Macaca fascicularis: one gene and its partners. Each later gene encodes a partner of the first gene's protein in a complex. Links are inferred from orthologs where the notes say so. Each region holds a gene or a part of one and is shown in the gene's direction. Other genes may lie near its edges.

The links.
Region 2: ZC3H13 (region 1) and CBLL1 share a complex: the UniProt entries of both Homo sapiens proteins name them as parts of the WMM complex. The link is inferred for Macaca fascicularis from reciprocal best matches to the Homo sapiens genes ZC3H13 and CBLL1.
Region 3: ZC3H13 (region 1) and METTL3 share a complex: the UniProt entries of both Homo sapiens proteins name them as parts of the WMM complex. The link is inferred for Macaca fascicularis from reciprocal best matches to the Homo sapiens genes ZC3H13 and METTL3.
Region 4: ZC3H13 (region 1) and RBM15 share a complex: the UniProt entries of both Homo sapiens proteins name them as parts of the WMM complex. The link is inferred for Macaca fascicularis from reciprocal best matches to the Homo sapiens genes ZC3H13 and RBM15.
Region 5: ZC3H13 (region 1) and RBM15B share a complex: the UniProt entries of both Homo sapiens proteins name them as parts of the WMM complex. The link is inferred for Macaca fascicularis from reciprocal best matches to the Homo sapiens genes ZC3H13 and RBM15B.
Region 6: the proteins of ZC3H13 (region 1) and WTAP are in contact, whole or in part, in a cryo-EM structure (PDB 7VF2), measured with the Homo sapiens proteins. The link is inferred for Macaca fascicularis from reciprocal best matches to the Homo sapiens genes ZC3H13 and WTAP. Residues at the interface, in NP_001317494.1 of Homo sapiens: Arg1512, Pro1514, Gly1515, Ala1516, Ala1517, Leu1518, Lys1520, Phe1521; in NP_001257460.1 of Homo sapiens: Asp202, Glu203, Asp206, Phe207, Gln210.

The regions. Positions count from the first base shown.
Region 1 is NC_088391.1:25,181,857-25,186,452, reverse strand, and holds part of ZC3H13 (zinc finger CCCH domain-containing protein 13), read left to right. Parts: intron 1-3,952; coding exon 3,953-4,144; intron 4,145-4,596. UniProt on the Homo sapiens protein: Associated component of the WMM complex, a complex that mediates N6-methyladenosine (m6A) methylation of RNAs, a modification that plays a role in the efficiency of mRNA splicing and RNA processing.
Region 2 is NC_088377.1:149,293,100-149,297,695, forward strand, and holds the end of CBLL1 (E3 ubiquitin-protein ligase Hakai), read left to right. Parts: intron 1-273; coding exon 274-1,309; 3' UTR 1,310-3,787; downstream 3,788-4,596. UniProt on the Homo sapiens protein: E3 ubiquitin-protein ligase that mediates ubiquitination of several tyrosine-phosphorylated Src substrates, including CDH1, CTTN and DOK1. Targets CDH1 for endocytosis and degradation.
Region 3 is NC_088381.1:89,173,284-89,178,376, reverse strand, and holds the end of METTL3 (N(6)-adenosine-methyltransferase catalytic subunit METTL3), read left to right. Parts: intron 1-273; coding exon 274-449; exon of another isoform or gene 450-469; intron 470-1,057; coding exon 1,058-1,274; intron 1,275-1,501; coding exon 1,502-1,689; intron 1,690-1,984; exon of another isoform or gene 1,985-2,114; intron 2,115-2,232; exon of another isoform or gene 2,233-2,292; intron 2,293-2,379; coding exon 2,380-2,418; intron 2,419-2,579; coding exon 2,580-2,688; exon of another isoform or gene 2,689-2,736; intron 2,737-2,808; coding exon 2,809-2,874; intron 2,875-3,042; coding exon 3,043-3,155; intron 3,156-3,813; coding exon 3,814-3,925; 3' UTR 3,926-4,038; downstream 4,039-5,093. UniProt on the Homo sapiens protein: The METTL3-METTL14 heterodimer forms a N6-methyltransferase complex that methylates adenosine residues at the N(6) position of some RNAs and regulates various processes such as the circadian clock, differentiation of embryonic and hematopoietic stem cells, cortical neurogenesis, response to DNA damage, differentiation of T-cells and primary miRNA processing.
Region 4 is NC_088375.1:123,969,314-123,974,424, reverse strand, and holds the start of RBM15 (RNA-binding protein 15), read left to right. Parts: upstream 1-1,835; 5' UTR 1,836-2,715; coding exon 2,716-5,111. UniProt on the Homo sapiens protein: RNA-binding protein that acts as a key regulator of N6-methyladenosine (m6A) methylation of RNAs, thereby regulating different processes, such as hematopoietic cell homeostasis, alternative splicing of mRNAs and X chromosome inactivation mediated by Xist RNA.
Region 5 is NC_088376.1:114,404,955-114,410,244, forward strand, and holds RBM15B (putative RNA-binding protein 15B), read left to right. Parts: upstream 1-1,838; 5' UTR 1,839-1,946; coding exon 1,947-4,619; 3' UTR 4,620-4,953; downstream 4,954-5,290. UniProt on the Homo sapiens protein: RNA-binding protein that acts as a key regulator of N6-methyladenosine (m6A) methylation of RNAs, thereby regulating different processes, such as alternative splicing of mRNAs and X chromosome inactivation mediated by Xist RNA.
Region 6 is NC_088378.1:11,231,662-11,235,796, reverse strand, and holds the end of WTAP (pre-mRNA-splicing regulator WTAP), read left to right. Parts: intron 1-2,045; coding exon 2,046-2,629; 3' UTR 2,630-3,339; downstream 3,340-4,135. UniProt on the Homo sapiens protein: Associated component of the WMM complex, a complex that mediates N6-methyladenosine (m6A) methylation of RNAs, a modification that plays a role in the efficiency of mRNA splicing and RNA processing.

The DNA.
Region 1 (4,596 bases):
GTAAATGGAGCTTGAGCTAGACCCCCCCAATTATATCCAGTCATGCCTGTCATCTTGATTAATGTAGAACACTAAGAAAATAACTATCAGACAAAAAAGTAGAATCACATGGAAGTTACTTTCTTTTAAATAGGTATAAATATGATAAAATGTTCATTAAATTAAAGTAGAATTAAAGTGGTGGGTTTTCAAAATTGTTGGCATCAGAAATGACTGATTTGTGTATTCTTCAGTATTTGTACTTGCTTCAGACCCTGTCAAACTGCCACATGTCATTATCTTGAGCCATTTTTCTTTTCATAAAAAGTATTTGCCATCACCCAAATGACTTAAATATATTGTAACTATTTCCAAACTGCTGAGACTTAATTATCATGACCTCTCTTTACCTCCACCTGCTTTTCTCCCCTCTCCCCAAACACTGCTGCAGAACTTTGATCACTTTTATTCTTTCCATTGGTCTGTTAGTCAATCCTTGGTCAGTATTTCAGCTTCATATTTGTGTTGAGGGTCCTTTAGCTTCTTTGAGCTGCCTTGTGTTTTCTTGACCCTTTACTTTTTCATGTCAATTTTAGAAAACAGTTTTTAATTTCATAAAAAATAGTTGGATTTTTATTTCAAATGCATCAACTTAATTTATAATATTTCCAATATTTTTTACATTTTTTTTTCCTGGGTATCCTCTATTTTTGTTGCCATTATAAATAGTGCTTTTACATTTTGTAAGATAAAAAAATTTTTTAATTATGCATTTACATGGTTCAAAATTTTGAATGTATAAAAGGACATATAGTGAAAAGCCTCCCTTGTACCCTGACCACTCTTTTGCCAGCTTTGTAGGTATTCTTCCCAAAAAACATTTTACGCGAGCAAATAAATATCCATTTGATTTCCCCTCTGGATTTACAAAAATAATTTTTAAAAACAGTGGAAAAATCTATGTACTATTTTATATCCTACTGTTTTCAACCAGTAAAAATAGCTTTCATGTCTTTCTTTGTGGTAAACAGCTATTTTCTTCTTTTGGCACATGTTATCTATTGTAGAATATACCATAAAGTCAGCAAGTGCTGCATTACTGGGTATTTTGGTTTTCTAATCTTCATCTCTTTCAGACAATGCTTTAGTGAATAACTGTGTACATATGTCACTAAATGGTGTCTCTTAAAACATTGCATTTTCTAATGCTTTGTTGGTACATGGAAATGGTAATTGGCATTTGTATATTAATCTTACATTTAAAGGATGTTGCTGTATTTTCTTGATCTAATTAGATTGTCTTAACAAATGTTCCTAGGAACAGACTGATTTGGCTCTTTTCTGATTATTAATTTTCTGTCAGTAACCTGCTGAGCATCTTTATCAATACAGTGTTAAATATAAGTAGAGTGGGCTTTGCTTTGTTTCAGATTTTAAAGGATTGTTGCTGGCATTTTATTACTAAGTATGGTGTTTGTGGATTTTTTGCAGATGCTTTTTATTGCGTTAAGGATTAAGTTCTCTCACCCCATTTTAGTTGTCAGAAAATACTCTGTTGAAAGTCAGTTCTTTGGGAAATGTATTTGTTAACTCTTATTTTGTGGCTCAGTGGTCTGTTTTTGTAAGTGTTCTACATATGCTTTCAAGGGAGTTGCATTTGTAATGGTTGAATGCAGAGTGTGTCTCTAAGATAAAGTTTGTTTAACTACACTTTCAAATCTACATGTAATTTTTCTTAGTCTACTTGTTCTGTCATTACAGAGAGGTGAGTTAAGTCTTCCACTATCATTGTGGAATTTGTAGATTTGTTCATTTCTTCTTATAGTTTGATCATTTTTTTGTTTGAATACTTTGAGGCTTTGCTCTTAGGTACACATAAGATGAGTTATTTATTTCTTTATTCATTATAGAATGACTGTTTATGCCAGGTTCAGGTTGAGCATCCCTAATCTGAAATTCTCCAAAATCTCAAACTTTTTAATGTATTTTCTTTTTTTTCAACTATTGCCACTAGCAACTCTGACAACAGCCATTTTGAGAGCTGACATAACACTCAGAGGAAATGCTTATTAGAGTATTTTGGATTTCCAATGTTTCAGATTAGGGATGCTGAATCAATATAATGCAAATATTCCAAAATCCAAAACACCTGTAGTCCCAAGCATTTCAGATAAAGGGCATTCAGCCTGTATTTTTCTTGAAGATTGTTTTGCTGGCAGCTGTCTTTTGGTTAGTATTTGTTTGATATATCTTTTGCCATCCTTTCAGGCTTTATTATTATTTTTTTTAATGTAACTCTAAACAACATATAGTTTTAGACACATTAAATCTCCTCATTGTATCTTCTCTCATTCTTAACTTGCAAATTTTTCATCTCTTTATCTGTTTTGCCTCTAGGTCATATTCTCAGGCTTAACTTCTAGTTTACCAGTTTTTTCTTAGCTGCGTCTGATTTGATGGTTAACCCATTCATTCCTAGATGTTATAGGTAGCCTTTTTGTAGTCTTTAAAAATGTTTTACATTTTTTCTTCCTGGTCTTTAATTATTAAAATATTTTTCATATCTATTTTGATTATTAAAATACCCATAGAATCATGCTGTAATTCTTTTAGGTCTCAAAAGCCTGTTACATTTATATTCTTTGTGTTTTTGTTTGTTTTTTAAATCTTGGGGAAGTGCTTTTTGATTCTGACTTTGGGTGGGTTAGTTTGTCATATGTTCTTTTAAGTTTGGAGTGAACTCATCTTTGTCAAGATTGATTTGTGGTAATTCTATGAGGTTAAGGGCAGGGCCCTCAGAGTTTCTGTCTGTTTTTGCCAGATATTCCTAAATTATCACAGCCCCAGTACTGCTTCTTTCTCTACTCCTAACCCTCCCTGCTCAAAAAAGGTTTTTTTGTTTTTTTGTTTTTTTTTTATTTCATTTTGTTTTGAAGTAATTAGGAATTCACAGGAGATTGCAAATAAATGTACAGGGAAACTTTGTTTATCCTTCTCCCAACTTCTCCAGTGTTAACATCTAACATCCTACCTGTAGTGTAGTATCAAAACCAAACAACTGACATTGGTACAATCCATAGAGTTTATTCAGATTTCACCAGTATACATGCACTTGGGTGTGTGTCTGTATGTAGCTTTATGCAGTTTTATCATATGTGTAGCCCATTTCCATAGTCAAGATACTCATCTGTAACATCCTAAGATTGCCTTTTATTACCCCCTTATAGCCACAACTCTCGCCTGGCCCCCGGCCCCAACCCCTGGCAGCCTCTTACGTGTCCTTTATCCTGTAATTGTCTCATAAATGGAATAATGCTCTATGTATCCTGTTGAGATTGGCTTTTTCACGCAGCATAATTTTTTCTTGGGGTTCATCCAAGTTGTTGCATATATCAGTCATTTATTTTTATTGCCGAATAGTATTCCATGGCATGCATGTGCCACAGTTTGTTTAATTGTTCACCCATTGAAAGACATTAGTGTACTTTGCAGGTTTTGGCTGTTATGAACAAAGCCACTGTGAATGTCTGTTTCCCACATCTGTTAATGAAAATTTTCACATACAATTTAATGTCATTAACCTTGGTGTTCTATGTTGGAATGTTTTCACTGTAAACTGTATTTAAGCAATAATATATACCCATTTTTTTCATTATTTTTATATATCTGTGAATTAGATATGAAGAAATAGTTTTTTTTTTGGCGGGGGGACAGGTTAACTTTAATGAATCTTATAATTTTATCGTATGACTTTTATATAGATAGAGAAAACTGGAACTTTGTCTACTCAGGTCAGTCATTGGACACCTTGGTTGTTCTGATTCATTGCTTGATACTCTTTTCAGGAGGGATTACCACACTTTGGAATATTAAATATATATATTAGTGGTTTTTAGGAGGAAAGATTGTGACTGATGAAATTTGTTGAATAAAGTGTATGGGGTAAACATTTGTGTGACTGTCCTTTGTTTAGGAAGTCGAAGCTCAAGAGGTTCTCAAATTGATAGTCACAGTAGTAATAGCAACTATCATGACAGCTGGGAAACTCGAAGTAGCTATCCTGAAAGAGACCGATATCCTGAAAGAGACAACAGAGATCAAGCAAGGGATTCTTCCTTTGAGAGAAGACATGGAGAGCGAGACCGTCGCGACAACAGAGAGAGAGGTTTGTCAAACAGAATTTTATTAAATAGTGAATAATATCAATTGGGTGAATTGTTTTTTAAAACAGTTACCAATTTACTATTTAATGTAAAATATATTTTAAGGCTTGTGCTTGATGACACACTTGAAACTATTATATATACTCATATAATCTTTGTTCACATGGTTTGGGAGGGATTATGTCAATAGCTAGTGACCAGTACCTACTGGCAACAAAGTGCAAAAACTTGGGTGCCCTGCTGTGTGTCTCTCATCTTAACCAAATAGCTTACAAACCTTTAAAGTATGTAGATGGTTGGGTTCCATTCCAGGCAATTCTGATTCAATAAATACCTAAACTTCACATCTGAGTATCCTGGCTACTCACTCATTCGCTGTGATCAATAGAATTTTATAAGGACTTTCAGAGAGGAGCAATAAAAAAATTAAAAAAAAAAAACCAATGATAGGGCT
Region 2 (4,596 bases), on another chromosome or scaffold:
AAATTCTAGGCCTTGGGAAGAATGAGGTCTCTTCTTGAAACATATTGTTTGATATTAGGAGTTCTGAAGATGACAGAAATGCCTATGCTTAATGGCTAATAGACAACAAAGTAGGGAAGATTAAAGGTTCATGTAGAATAACTGTAACTTCTAATTGTGGACTTTTGCTATGTTTTATGTAACAGTCAAATTTTTAAGAGGCATATTTTTGAAAATTACATAATTTTTTATGTTCTCTTTTAGTAAATCACATTTTTTCCCCTTCTGATTTAGCTGTAGTGATCCTGTGCAGCGAATTGAGCAGTGTACACGAGGTTCTCTCTTCATGTGTAGCATTGTTCAAGGGTGCAAGAGAACGTATTTGTCTCAGAGAGACTTACAGGCTCATATCAACCATCGCCATATGAGAGCTGGAAAACCTGTTACCCGTGCTTCACTTGAAAATGTTCATCCTCCTATTGCCCCACCACCAACTGAAATCCCTGAGCGTTTTATAATGCCACCAGACAAGCACCATATGAGCCATATTCCGCCAAAGCAGCACATCATGATGCCACCACCTCCTTTGCAACATGTGCCGCATGAGCACTATAATCAGCCACATGAGGATATTCGTGCTCCTCCAGCAGAATTGTCCATGGCTCCACCTCCACCTCGATCGGTCAGTCAGGAAACCTTTCGTATTTCAACAAGAAAACACAGCAATTTAATAACCGTCCCTATTCAGGATGACTCAAATTCAGGTGCTAGAGAACCACCACCTCCTGCCCCAGCACCTGCTCACCATCATCCTGAATATCAGGGTCAACCAGTGGTATCGCACCCTCATCATATTATGCCTCCACAGCAACATTATGCACCACCCCCACCTCCTCCACCACCAATAAGCCATCCAATGCCACATCCTCCCCAGGCTGCAGGTACTCCTCACTTGGTATATAGCCAAGCTCCACCTCCACCAATGACCTCTGCTCCACCACCAATAACCCCTCCCCCTGGACATATTATTGCCCAGATGCCACCTTATATGAATCATCCTCCTCCAGGACCTCCCCCACCTCAACATGGTGGTCCACCTGTAACTGCACCCCCTCCTCACCATTATAATCCTAACTCATTACCCCAATTCACTGAAGATCAAGGAACTCTGAGCCCTCCATTTACACAACCAGGGGGAATGAGTCCTGGTATATGGCCTGCACCAAGAGGGCCACCTCCTCCTCCACGATTGCAGGGTCCGCCTTCTCAAACCCCACTTCCTGGACCACATCATCCAGATCAGACGAGATATAGACCGTATTACCAATGATAATAGTATTTTGAACTGAAGATATGAGGAGGAAAAAAACTATGTATAGTCAATCTTTTAATTAAGCTTTGACTGTTTTGGGAAGGAAGAGTACCTCTTACCGAGGTAGTATAAAACACATAGGGTCTTGTTTCTTAAAATGGTTTTAAATCTTGACCTTAAGATTGATTTCAAGTACCATACTGTAGTACAGATAAGTGGCTCAGTTGAGCACAGCTATATTTTAACATCTTTATTCCCCTAATTTAGTAAATTGACCCAGAGGTGACCATTTGTAAAAAATTTGAAAAAATTTTTCATTGTTTTACTTCAAAAGTATTGTTTTGTTAAACCCAACGTTTAGTTTTTCTTGTGATACATTTTGTTAACCTGTGTAAAAGGATTAAATTTCAATAAGATTGTAAAAATGCTATTTTTATGTGAATTTAAGTGCAGCCACATACTGTTTTTTAAACCATATGTTTTACCACTAATTTCCCAAAGTTATAATAAAATCCTAAAAGCAAAAATCTAGAATTTGCTGTAAGGCAGACTGTTAAATGATAGAGAGTTATTTCACATTTTAGGCACTGAAATGTTGAGGTTTCGAGGTATAGTAAGTATACAATGCACTTCACTTGGATGCCTTTTCATTTTTAGGCAGCCTCAGGAGCACCAAAATACATTGGAATTCTAGTACTAAGATATATTTGTTTGTAATGTTAAAAGGCATTACTAATTATTTGGAAAGAGATGGCCAAAGTAATCAACTCTACAGGCTTCAAGCTGGTGGGGAATGCTGTTACTCATTAATGCTTTTTTACTGAATGGTCGGAATCACATATGCACCACACATACTGATCTTAAGTAACATTATTTTATAGAACTGTTTAAATGGTGTTATTTAGATGAAATGTGTTCTGTTTTGTTCATTGTCTTAAACTGAATAGGGCTGAATAGGCTTTATGTAATTCTTCATTTCATGGTAGAGTTTGATGCTGTGTTTAAGTGGGTTCTTGTTTATAGGATTTTCAACTGCAGTTTGAATGCCATGGAGGAATTTGAATAATGTATTAATGAAGGACATATTCTTGTAATCACAAATTTGCATTTGCTCAGGTTTCATTGCTGTGTGATAGAATTTTTCCTCTAACTTGAAATTTAAAAACTTTTATTTCCTATTCCTTTTGTTGGTAAAGCAGTCTGAATTTGGAACATTTTAGCTTGGAGTCAACAGTGAAGACTACCAGATAATTTTGTATTGGAGAAGAGGAAAGTAACAGCTAAATTGTGGATTTCAGTGCTTTACATGGTGCCTTTAGAGTCAGCTTTTACATTATAGGGGCTTGTTATAGTTCAGCTAAGATGACCACTTAACAGTTTATACAGAACTCATGTGTATAAATCAACGTTCTTAGGATATTATTTATATCCTTTGAATAAATCCCTGTGAAGTTTTTCCTCCCCACTAAAATGGTGCATAATAAAACATGAAATGTGTAGTATGCAGATATCATTTATTAGATAGTTTGTAGTATATACATTTAGAACATACTTCTTTTGACAAAGGGTGAACTGATTGCTAATTTACCATTTTATTCTGTCAGGTACAGGTGAAACAAATTCTCATCTTGAATGATCAGATGCAAAATCATTTCTGAACCCTAGGAGCAGAAGTTAGAAATAACAAAATGGCCATTTCAACCTTGACTGGCCAAAAATAACTAATAAACTTTTTTGTTTTAAGTCAGGCAAGTGATTTTCTACACTTCACAGTTTGAAAGTCCAGTGTTAATGCAATATTTCTAGTGAGAAATGCTTGTTATTAAAAGCATGGGAGTGAAATAGTGTGAAATGTTGGTGGTGAGTGCTTCTATCATGTTACTGTAGGTACTTGGACTGGTGCAAACTTGATTCCTTTTCATGCCCCTGTTTAGGAGCTATTAAAATGTTACTGTTAAAAATCCAAACCATTTCTTTGTTCCATGTAATAAGAAAATAGCCAAAATCACTTTAGAGCTTCTCAGCTATTTATGAAGAGCTGTCCTGCTTTTATTGAAAGTCACTAGAGTTGAATGTGGTAAGCAACCACTTAGCCTATGTATTGGACGAGAAAAATCAGTATCATAAAATTTTGAACTAAGAGAACTCTTGTAGAGTTTTAAAAAAATGATTTATTTTCAATTAGGTTTAAGAAATCTATGTTATGCAGGGAGGCATATCAGATGAATGTTGTAGTAGACAAAAGTTTTAAATCGTGTTAGACTTGAATTCATCAATTGTTTGAGGGTGGGTGGGTAGAAGGATAACAAAATTACTGTTAGTGCTTCTTTCCTTACGGAAAAAGATGTGAATCCCAGCCTTATTTCAGGGAAGCCTTTGAAGCTATGATGGACATAAGTCTAAATTAAATGTATGTATGTTTCATTATATTGCTCTTAAGACTACTGAGGTGGCAGTTTAATTCTTAAAAACAATAAAATGGAAGCATAAATACTATTTTGCCTAGATGAATTTTTATGTATTGGCACATTTGGAAGAATGCAGAATTTTCCATGTTTATGTTGATAACTTTCTCCAGTATAATTAAGTTCACTTCTAAAAGATTAAAACCATCAAGTTGAATGTTACATTTCTTCAGTGGCATGTTTATTCAGAATATACAGTATTTGGGGAAATATCTGTTGCAAAGACTATAAGAAACTATATTCATTTTGCCCTGTAAAAACTACTTGCTCAAAATTATCGTGTAAATACTAATTAAATACCACTGAAATGTAAATGGAAGAGATATTTGAACATATCTTTTAAACTCAATAAGAGGCTGTATGAAGTATACAGAACTGCTGAAGGCTTTGTTCTGACTAATATATTGGAAGAGTATCTTTTGTAATCTTTTTTGGAAAACTCTACAGTTCCGTCTTTCATAAAGTTTTTGAAAATGAGTACATTATGAGTACATGAAAAAAGTGCATGAGTACTCAGATATTTCTTCATTAGATTACCCATCAAATTAGTATGTTGATGTTAAACGTGTAAACACTATATTCCGATTAAAGTGGACTTACTCTTCATACTAATATAAACATACTGTATTCTGATTGAAGTGGACTAACTCTTCATACTAATATAAACATACTGTATTCTGATTGAAGTGGACTAACTCTTCATACTAATATAAACATACTGTATTCTGATTGAAGTGGACTAACTCTTCATACTAATATAAACATACTGTATTCTGATTGAAGTGGACTAACTCTTCATACTAATATAAACATACTATATTCTGATTGAAGTGGACTTAC
Region 3 (5,093 bases), on another chromosome or scaffold:
GCATGGTGTCTTGCACCTGTATTCCCAGCTACAATTGAAGGCTGAGCTTGGAGGATAACTTGAGCCTGGGAGTTCAGTGGGAGAAACAGTGAGTTATGATTACACCACTGCACTCTGGCCTGGGTGACAGCAAGATCCCATCTCTTAAAAAAAAAAAAAAGTTAGCTGATTTATCTCTTGTAAGACATTAATGTCAAAAAGAATTTGCAGAGTTGGTCTAAGAGCCAGTTTGATCTACAAGACATTTTAAGTCCAAGGGTACTTCTGTCACAGGTCAGTCAGGAGATCCTAGAGCTATTAAATACTACAACAGCCAAGGAACAATCCATTGTTGAAAAATTTCGCTCTCGAGGTCGGGCCCAAGTGCAAGAATTCTGTGACTATGGAACCAAGGAGGAGTGCATGAAAGCCAGTGATGCTGATCGACCCTGTCGCAAGCTGCACTTCAGGTCTCTTGGAAGGGAATGAGGTGGGATGGGTTTGTCAGAAGCAGCCATTCCTTTTCAGCATATTCTTTCCAGTCATTGGGGTTCTGTCTGTAATCTTACTTAGTTTATGGTTTGTGTAAGTACTCCAGACCCTGAAGGTATACTTTCAGAAGTGCATTGTGAGGGAAGAATACAGGCTGTACTCCCAAATAACATTTTTTTTTTTTTTTAAAAGAAAAAGCTCCCTCCTTAGAATAACAAGGTATGTCTGTCTCTCAGCCACAGTGAAAGTTAAAGTACTCTGAAAGCAGGATAATCTTAGGAGAAAAGGAACCTGAACTCTTAGGTCAGTGTTTTATTCTGTTCTAACCAACTAAGTCCCCTGCACTGCTTGCCTTCCAGTGGTAAAACAGGAAACCCAGTCTTTACTGAGAGATGAATTACAATTGTTCTGTAGTATGAATTACGGATTTCCATGCTACCTGCCTCCCTTAAAACTCTTGGAGAAAGCTCTAGCAATAGAATTAGGGGAGGGTAATAAAATAGGAGAATTTTGAAATCATTTGGAATTTTAACTGTTGGATGTACGTCTGGAGCACAATCTTGATTCTCCCTTTTTATTTTCCCAGACGAATTATCAATAAACACACTGATGAGTCTTTAGGTGACTGCTCTTTCCTTAATACATGTTTCCACATGGATACCTGCAAGTATGTTCACTATGAAATTGATGCTTGCATGGATTCTGAGGCCCCTGGCAGCAAAGACCACACGCCAAGCCAGGAGCTTGCTCTTACACAGAGTGTCGGAGGTGATTCCAGTGCAGACCGACTCTTCCCACCTCAGGTACCTGTCTGCTCAGAAAACTCGTCTCAACTTAAGAGATTTTGAGTAGGGCAGCCATACACGTTAAGAAAGCAGAGCATAATTCAGCAATCTTGTTTTGCTTATTGGGAATGGAGGGGGATAGATAAGCTTGTAAGGGAATAGGAAAAATCAAATGGAAAAGAGGGACTCGGGCCATGAATCTGAGAGTTAAAGTAGGGAAGATGACCAAATACCACTTTATGCAGTGGATCTGTTGTGATATCCGCTACCTGGACGTCAGTATATTGGGCAAGTTTGCAGTTGTGATGGCTGACCCACCCTGGGATATTCACATGGAGCTGCCCTATGGGACCCTGACAGATGATGAGATGCGCAGGCTCAACATACCCGTACTACAGGATGATGGCTTTCTCTTCCTCTGGGTCACAGGCAGGTAATGCAATTCAGTTATGTAGGTATGCTCAGATACAGTACAGAGTGAATACTGAGTGGGAGATAAAATCCTGGGTTTTCGTAGCCCTACTATTAAATGTATGACTGGTTTAGTCTTTTTTTCCGGGGGACAGTCTTACTCTGTTGCCCAGGCTGGAGTGCAGTGGTGTGATCTCAGCTCACTGCAACCTCGGCCTCCCGGGTTCAAGCAATTCTCCTGCCTCAGTCTCCTGAGTAGCTGGGATTACAGGCACGTGCCACCATGCCCAGCTAATTTTTTCTTTTTGTATTTTTAGTAGAAACTGGGTTTCACCGTGTTAGCCAGGATGGTGTCTATCTCCTGACCTTGTGATCCACTCACCTCGGGCTCCCAAAGTGCTGGGATTACAGGCGTGAGCCACCACACCCAGCCAGTCTTTTTTTCTAGTGAGTCCTAATGCCCATTTACAATGCAAATTATACCCTGAATATATATTTAACTTTACATTTGTTCTTTGAGAAAGGTAAGGTTGTTGAGAATACTGTTTTATCTTTTCATTCTTAGATCCACCATGCTGCTTTTGGTGTTGTGCATGTAAATGTTCACTGAATGTCTACTGAAAAGGTGTTTATGGTGTTTTTAACGCATCATATATTTTGAAGGAAAAAAAATAAGGGCATACAAATAGTTGTTCAACTCATTTCTTCCTAGGGCCATGGAGTTGGGGAGAGAATGTCTAAACCTCTGGGGGTAAGTAGTGGTTGTGTTGCTTTCTTTGGAGGGTAATACTGTTATAGTGAGATACATGTTTTCTTCTCCCAGAGTATTCTGTGATTCCTTGCTTCTATAAATGGTACTACCCCTAAACTGTACGTTTGGCTAAAACTCTAGTTCTTTTTTATGCCCCACAGGTATGAACGGGTAGATGAAATTATTTGGGTGAAGACAAATCAACTGCAACGCATCATTCGGACAGGCCGTACAGGTCACTGGTTGAACCATGGGAAGGAACACTGCTTGGTGAGCAGCAGTGGGGCCCAATTCAATAGGTGGAGCACAAAAGAAGAATCATTTGATTTCTTACTGAGAAAAAGTTCAAAAGGTGGTTTCATAAGGTAATCTGTTATCTGTGGTGAGCAGGTTGGTGTCAAAGGAAATCCCCAAGGCTTCAACCAGGGTCTGGATTGTGATGTGATCGTAGCTGAGGTATGTGCTTCCCAGGCGTCCAAAGCTTCCACATTTCTGTTGGTATCAGTTATTCATGTTGGGTGTATTCTCATCCCAGATTTTTCTCATTTAGATCATAAACATAATAGAAGGGGCTAGAATTGCAATCTTGTGTAACTTAAAAAGCAGCTACTTTTTATTTCCTAGGTTCGTTCCACCAGTCATAAACCCGATGAAATCTATGGCATGATTGAAAGACTATCTCCCGGCACTCGCAAGATTGAGTTATTTGGACGACCACACAATGTGCAACCCAACTGGTAAGGTGACCAGAGAACAGGCTAGTCGTCAAGGGGCTATTACTTATGATTAAGGACATAACTTAGTAGAGCTTCACACTGTATTCCACTAGTCCATAAATGAGCTTCAGAGGATTCATAAGCCACTTAAGCTTGTATTTAAACTGTTTTATGAGATTCTACAAATATTCATTAGAAACTCAACAGGTTCTAGGACCCAAAGCACTGCTCCCTAGGGTTTCTGTTCTCTTCACAACCTAAGGATCTTCCTCAGCCATTCTGTGATGTATTGAATCTGCCCCTGGTGGTTATCAAGTTATCTATTTAATCTGTCAATAATTACATCTTTCACCCCTTTAATAGAGCTTAAAACACATGCTGCTAGCATTTTGCTTATCCAAAGAGTACTCCCTGGTAGCAGCAACTCTGTGAAGCAGGCCTGGCTGAGCCTTAGTTACTAACCCTCAGATAATACAGATCCAGTCTATTTTAACACCAGAATCTATGCCAATTCTGAACTAGTCATTCTGCCATATACTATTCTAATGTTAAGTTCTTTTTACAAGAATTGGCATATTTAATATGATGATAGGCAGTCTTCACTTGGTATGCATTTTTTAACACTATTAAACCCTCTAATTCCAGGATTTCTGGTTTGCTCCTCCTTTTCCCGTTTCAGGATCACCCTTGGAAACCAACTGGATGGGATCCACCTGCTAGACCCAGATGTGGTTGCACGGTTCAAGCAAAGGTACCCAGATGGTATCATCTCTAAACCTAAGAATTTATAGAAGTACTTCCTTACAGAGCTAAGAATCCATAGCCATGGCTCTATAAACTAAACCTGAAGAGTGATATTTGTACAATAGCTTTCTTCTTTATTTAAATAAACATTTGTATTGTAGTTGGGATTCTGAAGTCCATTCTGGCTCTGCCACTTAACAGGGTGTAATCTTGTGCAACTCATCTCTCAGTATTTCTTATATGTGAAATGGGAGTATTACCTCATTGGGTTGCTGTGAGGGTTCAAACTAAATGAGTGCATGGGAAACATTAAAATGATCATTATAGGCTAGGCACGGTAGCTCACACCTGTAATCCCAGCACTTTGGAAAGCCAAGGTAGGAGGGTAACTGTAGCCCAGGAGTTCAAGACTAGCCTGGGCAAAATAGTGAGACCCCATCTCTACCTCCACCCTCCAAAATCATTAAAAAAACAGGAATGCAGGCTGGTTGCAGAGGCTCACACCTGTAATCCCAGCACTTTGGGAGGCCGAGGTGGGCGGACCACAAAGTCAGGAGTTCAAGACCAGCCTGGCCAACATGGTGAAACCCTGTCTCTACTAAAAATACAAAAAATCAGCTGGGCGTAGTGGCAGGCGCCTGTAATCCCAGCTACTCAGGAGGCTGATGCAGGAGAATTGCTTGAACCTGGGAGGCAGAGGTTCAGTGAGCTGAGATCGCACCACTGCACTCCAGCCCGGGTGACAGAGTGAGGCTGTCTCAAAAAACAAAACAAAACAAAAAAAACCCCACAGAAAACAGGAATGCATAGGATAAAACTATGTACATGGTTGGTTGAGGAGGAGGTTCTCTAGGAGAGCGTTTCCTGTTTTACAGACAGTAAAAATTTGAGTTTTATTTAAGGTTATCACCACTTGGACTATCGTGCTGTAAACTTCTGCTTATGCTGTTACAACTAGGTGGCTTTTCTGTTTTTCATTAGATTATGTCCAAGAAATAATGATAGATCTATGATCTTTTGAAGATATTGCATCAAACACAAGTGAATACAACTTTAGACTTTGGTAAAACCTCTTACTAATGATGTAGTTTTGCCTCTTAGATTCATGAATTGTGATAACTCAGATAAGGATGGTAACTGCAGAAATAATATATATATAAAGAGAAATAAACTCCTGGGTGATGTCATTTTCCATGTGGCCCAGTGTGCCTGTGT
Region 4 (5,111 bases), on another chromosome or scaffold:
CTTAGCAGGTCAATTTAGGTTAAAAAGTCACTCTAGTGCCTGGTTTATTATCTCGATTGGCTGTTATATTGAGTAATTAGATAATGGCTTAACTTCAATTTCCATTTGTGGTCTATTAATATAACCTTGAAACATTTAAACCCAGGTAAAACTTTTTCTTTTATTTCATGCTTTTACAAATAATATGTTCATGTATTTTTTATCCTCCAGCATCCAGATTTTTATCTTTAAATACCATTTCCCACTAAAAGGAACCAGAGCTCTCTGGAGAAATGGCTGACTCCACAACTGGGGCAGGAAATGTATATCAGGTAAGTCTGGAAGAAAACAATGGAGAAAGGAAGAGTGGGAAGAGTGATGCAGATGAAACAAGATTGACATGATTTGATAATTGTTGAAGTAGGGTGTTGGGTACACGTGGGAGTTCTTTATTCTTTTATGTATTTTAAACTTTTTCTATAAAAATAGTTTAAGGAAAGTTAAAAATGATATTTTCTAAACTGAAGGAGTAATAGTGCGCCCTTTGTAGAAACAAAAGATTTCTACAAAGAAAAGTGAAGTCTCCCTCCGACTCCAGATCCTTACACCCCTCCTCAGGGCAATCCTGGGAACAATTTCCCACGTAGTTGTCAAGAAAGTTTCCACGAAAATATTTTTAAATGTACATACTCATAAAATACAAATATTTTTAAAACCACAAATGGTAGCGTATTATACACGTTATTTTATGCCTTCTGAAGTTTTATTTCCTATTTTAATACAATGAATATGTCTACACATTACAATATTGTGGATTTTTATGCTTTACAATTGAGCTTCTTCCTTCAAGTTTCTTTGATTTATTCAAGAGATAAAAGGCCTACAGCTTCATATTCCTCAGGATTATTTACAAAAAGAAGGATGGCTCAGCCAAGGCTAAATTTAGGTTACAGTTCCTAATATTAACAGTTTTCAAGTTTAGGTTTCAGCTTTTGGGACATTATTGTTACCCTGAAAAATGTCATGTTTAAAAACACCTCACACCTCTACTATAGATTGGATCTTGGGAAATAGGGTTGAGGACGGGATCAATATAACCTCCGCCCCGGCGCATACCCGGGAGAGCTGCAGACGGTCTAAAGGATGTGGTGACCTCAGCGCTGCGTCCCTGCAGCAACCGGCGAGTGCTGAGGCACAGGCCATATCCCCCTAAGCTCGGCATCGCCTGCACCTCTCACAGGTGCTCTGTCCGCCACAGTAACGCTCTATGGAAATTAAAGTTGTAAGGCGAACGACAGAAGGAGCCAAACGAGGTGGATCCGGAGCCGCCACAAGGTGCCTGTGCTGCTGGCTTTTAACACACAAAAAGAGGAGTGCCAAGGAATACAAGAAGCCACAGGGGGAATAAAAAGCGACATATCTGCATGGAGCCTAAATTTCGCTCGATGATTTTCAGGGAAGAAGCATTACATATTAAAAACAAACATTGCTATTTTACGGGAATACCGGATTTAAAAATCCACACAGATTCGCAACATAAAACAGGCAGCCCAAAGACACGTCCGCGGTGTCCTGACAGTTCCGGCTCCGCCCGCGGGCCACGAGGCGGGGATCGACGGTCACTCCCCTCGGTTGCCCAGAGTACTTGGGCGGCAACGGGGAGCGCCGGGGGGAGACAAGCTCCTGGGCTAGGGCTGCGTCTTAGCCACCTTGCTTAGCTCTCGAGGTCCCGCGTGTTACGTGTTAGCACCGCCCCGGGGCGTCAGCGTGACCCGGGGCTGCAGGAACCGTGAACTCCCTGCCCCGCGGGCCCAGGTGACCGCGGGCATCGCTCTCCCGCGCGCGGGGGGCGGGGCTTCCCCCGGCTGTGCACTCAGCTACCACAGCGACATAAGATGGTGTCCGCTAGGCGTCCCAGGACGGCTTCCTAAGGGACTGGAGGGCCCCGACAGCCGGAGAGTCTGCCCCGCCCCTTGGCCGGCACAGGTAGGACGGCGGGGAGCTCAGAAGTTTCGAACTCCAAGGGCCGAAGCACAGCCAAATACCCCACGGAACTTAACAAATGTTTGTGGGGAGAACGCCAAAAACGCGGGGAGGCGGGGCTGGCGCACAGTCACCCTCTCGCGACATCTAAGTGACGTCGCATAGCAAGCACGTGTTCTAGTCTTTCACCTTCAGTCAGCCTCCTCCGTTATATGGGCCTGCCCCTTTAAGCGAGTGATGGACAGTTACTTCAGCCTATCAACTTCCTTGCAGACATCCAATCAGATTTAAACTTCTTTTAGCCGCCGGAGGAGTTGGAAAAAGGGGGTCGAAAGAGGGAGCTCACCGTCTCTCGCGATATCGCTGTGAGCCTGCCTCTCGGAAAAACGCCGAAACTTGGCCCCACCTCCCAAATAGTGGTTTAAAGGACGGGTTTACAAGCCAATGAAAGGGATGAGGAGGCGGGGTTGCTGCTTTCACTGAGCAAGAAGTACCGTTACAGGGCAGACTTTTTGTCCAATCAACACAGCTACACTTTGGGTCACGTGACCGCAGAGTGCGAGGGGCGGAGCTACAGCCTGGCGCGAGGAACCGTTAAGATAGACAACAAATGTAACCAATGAGGTACTCTGACTAGGGGGTTGGGAACCCAATAACAGTGGTTGGGCGGGCGCCTTCCTGGAGCGCGGGGAGATGTAAAGATAGACAAATAATTTTCCCAATGAGACTGTAGAAGAGAGAGCTAATTGGCCAATGAGGACTGCGGGGCGGGACCCTGTGCCGCGGCGGAGTCCAAGATGGCGGCGTGCGGTTCCGCTGTGTGAAACGAGCGCGGGGCGGCGGGTTGATCAGCTCCGCGGAGACGACCTCCGAGGACCCGCAACAATGAAGGGAAAAGAGCGCTCGCCAGTCAAGGCCAAACGCTCCCGTGGTGGTGAGGACTCGACTTCCCGCGGAGAGCGGAGCAAGAAGTTAGGGGGCTCTGGTGGCAGCAATGGGAGCAGCAGCGGAAAGACCGATAGCGGCGGCGGGTCGCGGCGGAGTCTCCACCTGGACAAGTCCAGCAGTCGAGGTGGCAGCCGCGAGTATGACACCGGTGGGGGCAGCTCCAGTAGCCGCTTGCATAGTTATAGCTCCCCGAGCACCAAAAATTCTTCGGGCGGGGGCGAGTCGCGCAGCAGCTCCCGGGGTGGAGGCGGGGAGTCACGTTCCTCTGGGGCCGCCTCCTCAGCTCCCGGCGGCGGGGACGGCGCGGAATACAAGACTCTGAAGATAAGCGAGTTGGGGTCCCAGCTTAGTGACGAAGCGGTGGAGGACGGCCTGTTTCATGAGTTCAAACGTTTCGGTGATGTAAGTGTCAAAATCAGTCATCTGTCGGGTTCTGGCAGCGGGGATGAGCGGGTAGCCTTTGTGAACTTCCGGCGGCCAGAGGACGCGCGGGCGGCCAAGCATGCCAGAGGCCGCCTGGTGCTCTATGACCGGCCTCTGAAGATAGAAGCTGTGTATGTGAGCCGGCGCCGCAGCCGCTCCCCTTTAGACAAAGATACTTATCCTCCTTCAGCCAGCGTGGTCGGGGCCTCTGTAGGTGGTCACCGGCACCCCCCTGGAGGTGGTGGAGGCCAGAGATCACTTTCCCCTGGTGGCGCTGCTTTAGGATACAGAGACTACCGGCTGCAGCAGTTGGCTCTTGGCCGCCTGCCCCCTCCACCTCCGCCACCATTGCCTCGAGAGCTGGAGAGAGAAAGAGACTACCCGTTCTATGAGAGAGTGCGCCCTGCATACAGTCTTGAGCCAAGGGTGGGAGCTGGAGCAGGTGCTGCTCCTTTCAGAGAAGTGGATGAGATTTCACCCGAGGATGATCAGCGAGCTAACCGGACGCTTTTCTTGGGCAACCTAGACATCACTGTAACGGAGAATGATCTAAGAAGGGCGTTTGATCGCTTTGGAGTCATCACAGAAGTAGATATCAAGAGGCCTTCTCGCGGCCAGACTAGTACTTACGGCTTTCTCAAATTTGAGAACTTAGATATGTCCCACCGGGCCAAATTAGCAATGTCCGGCAAAATTATAATTCGGAATCCTATCAAAATTGGTTATGGTAAAGCTACACCCACCACCCGCCTCTGGGTGGGAGGCCTGGGACCTTGGGTTCCTCTTGCTGCCCTGGCACGAGAATTTGATCGATTTGGCACCATACGCACCATAGACTACCGAAAAGGTGATAGTTGGGCATATATCCAGTATGAAAGCCTGGATGCAGCGCATGCTGCCTGGACCCATATGCGGGGCTTCCCACTTGGTGGCCCAGATCGACGCCTTAGAGTAGACTTTGCCGACACCGAACATCGTTACCAGCAGCAGTATCTGCAGCCTCTGCCCTTGACTCATTATGAGCTGGTGACAGATGCTTTTGGACATCGGGCACCTGACCCTTTGAGGGGTGCTCGGGATAGGACACCACCCTTACTATACAGAGATCGTGATAGGGACCTTTATCCTGACTCTGATTGGGTGCCACCCCCACCCCCAGTCCGAGAACGCAGCACTCGGACTGCAGCTACTTCTGTGCCTGCTTACGAGCCACTGGATAGCCTTGATCGCAGGCGGGATGGTTGGTCCTTGGACCGGGACAGAGGTGATCGAGATCTGCCCAGCAGCAGAGACCAGCCTAGGAAGCGAAGGCTGCCTGAGGAGAGTGGAGGACGTCATCTGGATAGGTCTCCTGAGAGTGACCGCCCACGAAAACGTCACTGCGCTCCTTCTCCTGACCGCAGTCCAGAATTGAGCAGTAGCCGGGATCGTTACAACAGCGACAATGATCGATCTTCCCGTCTTCTCTTGGAAAGGCCCTCTCCAATCAGAGACAGACGAGGTAGTTTGGAGAAGAGCCAGGGTGACAAGCGAGACCGTAAAAACTCTGCATCAGCTGAACGAGATAGGAAGCACCGGACAACTGCTCCCACTGAGGGAAAAAGCCCTCTGAAAAAAGAAGACCGCTCTGATGGGAGTGCACCTAGCACCAGCACTGCTTCCTGCAAGCTGAAGTCCCCGTCCCAGAAACAGGATGGGGGGACAGCCCCTGCGGCAGCAGCCTCTCCCAAACTCTGTTTGGCCTGGCAGGGCATGCTTCTACTGAAGAACAGCAACTT
Region 5 (5,290 bases), on another chromosome or scaffold:
GGGGGGATATTCATTTCCATTTATCCCTCAACCCACCAGCGCTGAAAAGACCAGAGCAGGACATAGGGGCTAGGGCCCGCTGATGTGCCTGGGTGTGTGCCACTAGAGGGCAGCAGGCACCTCAGCAGAAAGGAGGTAGGGGGTGCTGGGCTTGATACCCTGCCCCTTGATACCGTATGTCTTAGCCACCCAAGAGAGCTGGAGGCCACAGCTTTAGGAGGAGTGAGTCTGGATACATTGGAGGGCCTTAAATTGTGGCTCAGTACAAGCAAGACAGGGTGTGTGGAGTGTGGTTTTCCGCAAGGATGCCTTCAATAACAGTGCATGTCAGCACTGACATCTCAATGCTGTTGGCCTGGCCACCTACTTGCTTTTTTGTCCATTCCAAGCCTCTGATGTCTATTCCAGTTTTTGCAAGACTAGCAGGAGTCAGCTTATACAAGGAGGGAGTGGGAAGCTGCCTTTTGCCTTTGTTTACCCTACATTAGTCAAACAGTTGAGGTCCAGGGTTTTTCTGGAGTCTGCTTCTTAAGCCACGCTCTGTGGCATTGGTGCTTAGGAAACCCAGTTGTTAGTGTGAGCTGTGGCTCAATGAAAACACCTGTAGAAACCACCTGAAAGGACGAACTAAGAACCAGTGCTTTCCAAGGAATTGCTCTTGCCTCAGATCACTTGTGTCTCCTAAGCTCAGTTTGCCAGTAGGAGGCCTTACAGGCTGCTGTGGAACCCGTTGTTTTCTTCCAAGACCTTTCCCCCTGCACCTGCCTGAGCTGCTCCAGGAGCTGCTTTCTCATTGTGAGAAGATGCCATGACTTGGTGTGCTCTTCCCCATCGCAAGGATTCTGTGCCGGGAATTGGGTCAGGTTCTACCATGGCTCCAGCAACTGTCCTTGGAGAATGAAAGCTTCCTCAATAGGCTTGAGCACCTGGGCACCCTTTCCCTCACCTCACCTGGGGAGAAGAGGTTCTCGTGAAGGTGATGAACAGGAGGGTACTGGCCAACGAAGGGTCAGCGTGGCAAACTGATAACGGCTGGCACTATCTGTGCATATGGCCTCTTCATCCTTAGCTCTTGTGGCCCTACCTTTCCAGCCTGCTGTCTGCCCAGATGCCCACAGAAGAGGGTGGGACCCAAGAGTGGTGTTAGAGAGTCTATTCCAACTGAACTGCAACTGCAGGCTTGTCTCCGCTTACCTGAATGACAACAATTGTCCTCATGGCATTTTCGGGGACTCCTGCAGGTGAACCTACACGTGGAGAATGCGCGGAATGTGGGCCTTGGATCCTGGACAGGGGCTAAGGAAGGGCATGCATTAGTCCTTGGGGCTGTCAACCCCAGATCCCAGGCAGGAGAAGCCAAGGAGGGTGATGCGGGGTTTGCTCAAGCCTAGTCCTGGGACTGAGGGGATACTAAAGAGACCACTGACTGGGTTAATGCCCCAGACCCAACGCCCATGGAAACTGTCACTCTTGCTCCAATCAGCGCGGGCTCCAGCGCCTGCAGGAGGAGGTAGTTGGACCCAAAGCGGCAAAGCACGCCAGGGAGCACAAAGCGTTAGGTCGTCCCGCCGGCCTCTCAGGGTTCCCTACACTCCGCGTAGCCTCAAGCATCTGCCATACGGGCCGCGCGGTGGCGGCAGAGCGCGCGGCCCAGGCCCACTCACCCGGCACTCACAGGGTCACATGGCACTGGGCGACGCTGCGCGATGAGGCAGGCCCGGCGCGGATCTCGCCCCGCCCGCCGCAGGGTCACGTGGCACGGCCGGCGCAGCTTGATAACGCAATGCCCGGCCCCTAGGCGCCGCTCCCGCCCCGCCCCGCCGCCACCGCCGCGCCGAGTCCTTTTGTCCAAGATGGCGGCGCCGGGGGCGCTGCCTCCTCGGCCGCCGCCGCCGCCGCCGCCGCTGTGAGAAACCTACGGGCCGCCCGCCCGCCGCGCCAGCGCCATGAAGCGGCAGAGCGAGCGAGACTCTAGCCCGAGCGGGCGCGGCTCGTCATCGTCGGCCAAGCGTCCGCGGGAGCGCGAACGGGAGGCGGAGGCGGGCGGGCGGCGGGCGGCGCACAAGGCCTCTGGCGGCGCCAAGCACCCGGTTCCAGCGCGGGCCCGCGACAAACCCCGCGGCAGCGGAAGCGGCGGGGGCGGGCATCGCGACGGCCGCGGCACCGGGGACGCGAATCACCGCGCGAGTAGCGGGCGCTCCTCGGGCTCCGGCGCTGGCGGCGGGGGACGCGGCGGCAAGGCCTCGGGGGACCCGGGCGCCTCCGGCTTGTCGCCCCGCGCGTCTCCTCTGCCGCCGCCTCCGCCACCGCCTGGGGCCGAGCCCGCGGGTCCCGGCTCATCCGCAGCCGCGCCTGAGTACAAGACGCTGCTCATCAGCAGCCTGAGCCCCGCGCTGCCTGCCGAGCACCTCGAAGACCGGCTCTTCCACCAGTTCAAGCGCTTCGGCGAGATCAGCCTCCGCCTGTCGCACACGCCTGAGCTGGGCCGTGTGGCCTACGTGAACTTCCGGCACCCACAAGACGCGCGCGAGGCCCGCCAGCACGCCCTGGCCCGCCAGCTGCTGCTCTACGACCGCCCGCTCAAGGTAGAGCCCGTGTACCTGCGCGGCGGCGGCGGGAGCAGTCGGCGAAGTAGCAGCAGCAGCGCCGCCGCTTCCACGCCTCCCCCAGGGCCGCCCGCGCCCACCGACCCGCTCGGCTACCTTCCGCTGCACGGAGGCTACCAGTACAAGCAGCGCTCGCTGTCCCCCGTCGCTGCCCCGCCCCTGCGGGAGCCCCGCGCCCGCCACGCCGCCGCAGCCTTCGCCCTGGATGCCGCCGCTGCCGCCGCTGTGGGACTGTCCCGAGAGCGGGCCCTGGACTACTACGGGCTGTACGACGACCGTGGGCGCCCCTATGGCTACCCAACTGTGTGTGAGGAGGACCTGATGCCCGAGGACGACCAGCGGGCCACGCGCAACCTCTTCATTGGGAACCTGGACCACAGCGTATCTGAGGTGGAGCTGCGACGGGCCTTCGAGAAATATGGCATCATCGAGGAGGTGGTCATCAAGAGACCTGCCCGTGGCCAAGGTGGTGCCTATGCCTTCCTCAAGTTCCAGAACCTGGACATGGCCCATAGGGCTAAGGTGGCCATGTCGGGCCGAGTGATTGGTCGCAACCCCATTAAGATAGGCTATGGCAAGGCCAACCCCACCACTCGTCTCTGGGTGGGTGGCCTGGGACCTAACACCTCACTGGCAGCTCTGGCCCGGGAGTTTGACCGCTTTGGGAGCATTCGGACCATTGATCACGTCAAAGGAGATAGCTTTGCCTATATCCAGTACGAGAGCTTGGATGCAGCCCAGGCCGCCTGTGCTAAAATGAGGGGTTTTCCCTTGGGTGGACCAGACCGCAGGCTCCGCGTGGATTTTGCCAAAGCAGAGGAGACTCGGTACCCCCAGCAGTACCAGCCCTCACCACTCCCTGTGCATTATGAGCTGCTGACAGATGGATACACCCGGCACCGCAACCTGGACACCGACCTGGTGCGGGACAGGACGCCCCCACACCTTCTGTACTCAGACCGAGACCGGACTTTTTTGGAAGGGGACTGGACCAGCCCCAGTAAAAGCTCTGACCGCCGAAACAGCCTTGAGGGCTACAGTCGCTCAGTGCGCAGCCGGAGTGGTGAGCGTTGGGGGGGAGATGGGGACCGTGGTTTGCCCAAGCCCTGGGAAGAGAGGCGGAAACGGAGGAGCCTTTCCAGTGACCGTGGGAGGACAACCCACTCCCCTTATGAGGAACGGAGCAGGACCAAGGGCAGTGGGCAGCAGTCAGAGCGGGGCTCCGACCGCACCCCTGAGCGCAGCCGCAAGGAGAACCACTCCAGTGAAGGGACCAAGGAGTCCAGCAGCAACTCCCTCAGCAACAGCAGACACGGGGCTGAGGAACGGGGCCACCACCACCACCACCACGAGGCTGCAGACTCTTCCCATGGGAAGAAGACAAGAGACAGCGAGCGCAATCACCGGCCCACGGAGGCCGAGCCCAAGCCTCTTGAAGAGCCAAAACATGAGACCAAAAAGCTGAAGAATCTTTCAGAGTATGCTCAGACACTACAGCTGGGTTGGAATGGGCTTCTGGTGTTGAAAAACAGCTGCTTCCCCACGTCTATGCACATCCTAGAGGGGGATCAGGGGGTAATCAGCAGTCTGCTCAAAGACCACACTTCTGGGAGCAAGCTGACCCAGCTGAAGATCGCCCAGCGCCTTCGACTGGACCAGCCCAAGCTCGATGAGGTCACACGACGCATCAAGCAGGGGAGCCCCAATGGCTATGCGGTCCTCTTAGCCACCCAGGCAACCCCCAGTGGGCTTGGCACTGAGGGGATGCCCACAGTGGAGCCAGGTCTGCAGAGGCGGCTTCTCAGGAACCTGGTCTCCTACTTGAAACAGAAGCAGGCCGCAGGGGTGATCAGCCTGCCAGTGGGGGGGTCCAAGGGCAGAGATGGCACAGGCATGCTCTACGCCTTCCCACCCTGCGACTTTTCCCAGCAGTACCTCCAGTCAGCACTAAGGACATTGGGCAAACTAGAAGAAGAACACATGGTGATAGTCATCGTCAGAGACACTGCCTAGCCCAAGCCTGTCTTTCCCGGCGTCATGTTTGTGTCACAAAAGCAGTTATTTTAAAAATCTGATCCCCTGTCTACCTTACCACTTTGGTTTGAATTATCTCCTGGGTTATTTTGGTTCATTTGGGTGGGGATCAAAGTCCTGTCCAGCACCAAAACTAAGTTCTTAGAATTTGGGGGAATTTTTTTTTTTTTTTTTAACAATGATGAGAAGGGAATCCGGTTATGTTGATTTCTAGTGTACAAGATACTGTCTGCTGTGGTTCTGTATTTTTTTATTTTTTGACCAACTGTATGGAAAGTTGTCAGTAAAACCTTTGTCAGGATGGATTTTTAAACCTGTTCAGAGTCCTGGTTTAATCAAGCTAAGAATCGAAGACTTCCCTAGTGCATGTACACGAATGTCCTACGTCATCTTTCCAGCACCACTGCTGCATAGGTCACTCTCAGCCTCTCAGTTCTTCAGGCTGAGTCTGGACTCTAATCACTCATTTTTATCTTGGCTGACAGGCAAGCTTCAGTTTGGGCTCTGGACCCTGCCACACAAGCCCGAGTAGAGCCCATGCAAAGGAAGGGATGGGGTGAGCCCAAGGCCTGTGGTTAGCAGCTACTGATGGTTTTTTTCTTCCCTAAACGGTGTGTGTGTCCATCATCAGTTTGAGCTGTGGCTGTTGG
Region 6 (4,135 bases), on another chromosome or scaffold:
GGAGTCTCACGCTGTTGCCCAGGCTGGAGTGCAGTGGCGCGATCTCGGCTCACTGCAAGCTCCGCCTCCTGGGTTCACGCCATTCTCCTGCCTCAGCCTCCTGAGTAGCTAGGACTACAGGCGCCCGCCACCGCGCCCGGCTAATTTTTTGTATTTTTAGTAGAGACGGGGTTTCACTGTGGTCTCGATCTCCTGACCTTGTGATCCGCCCGCCTCGGCCTCCCAAAGTGCTGGGATTACAGGCTTGAGCCACCGCGCCCAGCCTGGGTGTTGTATTATTTAACAAGATGGATAAATTTGTATTCAGTGTTTGAAAGGAAGATATATCTTTAACCATTTCTCATTAATTGTGAATCTTAGAAACATGGGCAGTTTTCAGCGATCTGAAAGTAATATCGTTGATTGTATCTGTGAAGATTTTATTAGTGAATAAGAGATTTAATCTTTAAATTTGCTGAGATAAACAAAACTTGTCAGCCTCCATCCTTTTTAGTGCAAGTGTAGCTGCATCTCTCCTGTTTCTCCTCTCTGTTTTTTTTTTTTGTTTTTTGTTTTTTTTTTTAAGACAGGGTCTCACTCTGTGTTACCCAGGCTGGAGTGCAGTGGCGTGACCTCAGCTCACTGCTACCTCCACCTCCCGGGTTCAAGCGATTCTCCTGCCTCAGCCTCCCAAGTAGCTGGGATTACAGGCGCCCGCCACTGCTCCCGGCTAATTTTTGTATTTTTAGTAGAGATGGGGTTTCACTATGTTGGCCAGGATGGTCTCGAACTCCTGACCTCAGGTGGTCTGCCCGCCTCGGTCTCCCAAAGTGCTGGGATTACAGGCGTGAGCCACCGCACCCAGCCTCTCCTCTCTGTAAGGTGCATTATTAGTAAGGAAAATATCCAGATTCTTGGAAATTTTAAATTGAAAATTAGTGTCTCAGGTTAATTGCAAAGATGATCAGTAGCCAAGTAATTTCTTCTAAACCACCTACCTTTTCAAAATCTTCAGGAATTATTTCCTGTGACTTTTGTCCTTATATGTATAACAGTCCTTGGTTGAGAACATGGGCCTCTTTGGAGTGTTATAGAGGACCACGCTGCCCTTAAGGGCCAGAGCTGCATGGAACTAAGGCACTGGGTCAGGAATATGGGGACTGGCCATAGTGGGTCCATAGGTAAACGTGAGTCAAACTTTGGGGCTGTAATCAGGCATATGGCAAGATGGACTAAAACAATTCTAACTTGGTTGCTTAATACAGTTGCCCTCGGTATCCATGGTGGATTGGTATCAGGACCTCCCACAGATAAGCCCCTCATATAAAATGATGTATTTACATACAAACCGATGTACATCTTCCCATTTGAGCCATCTCTAAATTACTTAACAGTACCTAATGCAATCTAAATGCTATGAAAATAGTTGTTTTACTGTATTGTTTTGGGGATAATGACAAGAAAAAAAAAATCTGTACATGTTCAGTATAGACCCAGTTTTTTCTTCCTTGAATATTTTCCTTCTACAGTTGGTTGAATCCATGGGTGCATGTGGAGGGCCAACTGTGTATTATTTTAAGTATCTGACTTCCCTCAAAACAAACTCAGTCATATTTTAAGATTCCAAGCAAAATTGTTAAATGTAGTGCGATTTTAGAATTGTATTTGTTGGCCAGGCGCAGTGGCTCAAGCCTATAATCCCAGCACTTGGGGAGGCCGAGATGGGCGGATCACGAAGTCAGGAGATCGAGACCATCCTGGCTAACATGGTGAAACCCCGTCTCTACTAAAAAATACAAAAAACTAGCCGGGCGAGGTGGCGGGCGCCTGTAGTCCCAGCTACTCAGGAGGCTGAGGCACGAGAATGGCATAAACCCAGCTGAGATCCGGCCACTGCACTCTAGCCTGGGCGACAGAGCGAGACTCCGTCTCAAAGAAAAAAAAAAAAAGAATTGTATTTGTTTACTTAGGCATTTATTGACTGCCTTGCTTTGTGGCAGGCACTAAAGAAACATTTTTCAATGTTATAAGCGATATTAAACTTGGTTTGACTCTCCTTTGCACAGAACTGAATGACTTCATCATCCAGCTTGATGAAGAAGTAGAGGGTATGCAGAGTACCATTCTCGTTCTGCAGCAGCAGCTGAAGGAGACACGCCAGCAGTTGGCTCAGTACCAGCAGCAGCAGTCTCAGGCCTCTGCCCCAAGTACCAGCAGGACTACAGCTTCTGAACCTGTAGAACAGTTGGAGGCCACAAGTAAAGACTGCAGTCGTCTGACAAACGGACCAAGTAATGGTAGCTCCTCCCGCCAGAGGACGTCTGGGTCTGGATTTCACAGGGAGGGCAACACAACCGAAGATGACTTTCCTTCTTCTCCAGGGAATGGTAATAAGTCCTCCAACAGCTCAGAGGAGAGAACTGGCAGAGGAGGTAGTGGTTACGTAAATCAACTCAGTGCGGGGTATGAAAGTGTAGACTCTCCCACGGGCAGTGAAAACTCTCTCACACACCAATCAAATGACACAGACTCCAATCATGACCCTCAAGAGGAGAAAGCAGTGAGTGGGAAAGGTAACCGAACTGTGGGTTCCCGCCACGTTCAGAATGGCTTGGACTCAAGTGTAAATGTACAGGGTTCAGTTTTGTAATATTTTTTCAGCAAATTTTTATACAGTGTCATTTAATTTGGGAGAGGATACTGTCCAGAAAATTAATGCAAACTTTTGTCACAATTTGCCTTTTTGTGGGTGTACGTTTTGGTTTTTTGTTGTTGTTTTCTCTTTGTTTTTTCTTTTTTTTTTTTTTTTTTTTTTTCTTTTTTTTGCTTCAATACCTCTGCCACTTTGGAAATTGTAACAGTTAATTACTTTGAATGTTGCTAAAAGAACATTTTGTGTAGGGTCAAGTTATTTTTATATGAGTTAATGTGAAATTGTAAATGGAAATTTTTCCTTAAAATATAACACAATGACGTCTGTATAAATCTATGTCTGTTTAGAACCTGTGCTGTGTAAGGGCATTCTTCCTCATGCTGTTACTGTACTTATGCACCATTCAGACTTGTTAGAGTAGATGTGGGTTTATGACTGCCAAGTTTGCCCAGTACAGTAGTTTTTTATCACTAAAAGTTGGACTCATTGATGGAGTCCTGTAGTAGTTTCAGTGTTAGATACAGTTTTTTCCACCATACATCTGTGCATTTTCTCTTTAGGTGACTGAATGTTTAAGAAATTTGTGTGCATAGTTACTCAGTTTTTATGAACTGTTGTATCCTGTTAATGCATATTGCTCTGTGACTCCAGTATATCTTACCTGTACTGACCAAACCTAAATAAAGATTTTTATTGTAACTCCTTAATTAGCGTTTTTGTTTTGTTTTGGGTGTCTGTTTAGCATTTGTCATTGATTTTCACTGAGTCACTGAATTTCTACTCATTATCTTTCAAGTACTACAACAGTGAAACTTAAGACTAAGCATCGATTTTGATTTTGCACTTAATTTTTAATTTATGCCTTATTTTGCAAAATGGAGCTGGAGTTTAGGTCTACACTTAAAATTTTTTCTTGACTTATAATTGTTACAAAATATTTGAAAATACAGAGAAGTATAAAGAAAATAGTCATCCAAATATTTCTTAGGGGTTTTTTAATTTTTATTTATTTATTTTAAATTGAGACAGGGTCTCACTTTGTCACCCAGACTCAAGTGCAGTGGCGCAGTCATGGCTCACTGCAGCCTCCAAGTCCTAGGCTCAAGTGATCCTCCCACCTCAGCCTTCTGAGTACATGGGACTATAGGCATACACTACCACACCCAGCTACATTTATTTTATTTTTAGTAGAGACAAAGTCTTGCTGTGTTGCACATGCTGGCCTCAAGGGATCCTTCTGCCTTGGCCTCCCAACGTGTTGGGATTGCAGGAGTGAGCCACAGCTCCTGGCCCTTTTTGAGTTTTAATTGAAAAGCAGGATTTGTTTTTTGTGACCTGATTTTAAGTAGAGTATCTTTGTAGTCAGTGATGTTTGTTTTAAAACACTTGCCAGTACTACTGATTTTTACTAACAACATACCTGGTAATATTACATGAGTAAGGGGTGTTAGAATGTAGGTAGGAGAGAATGTTTTTAAGGTGGAAGAATCTCAAAGTTTGCTC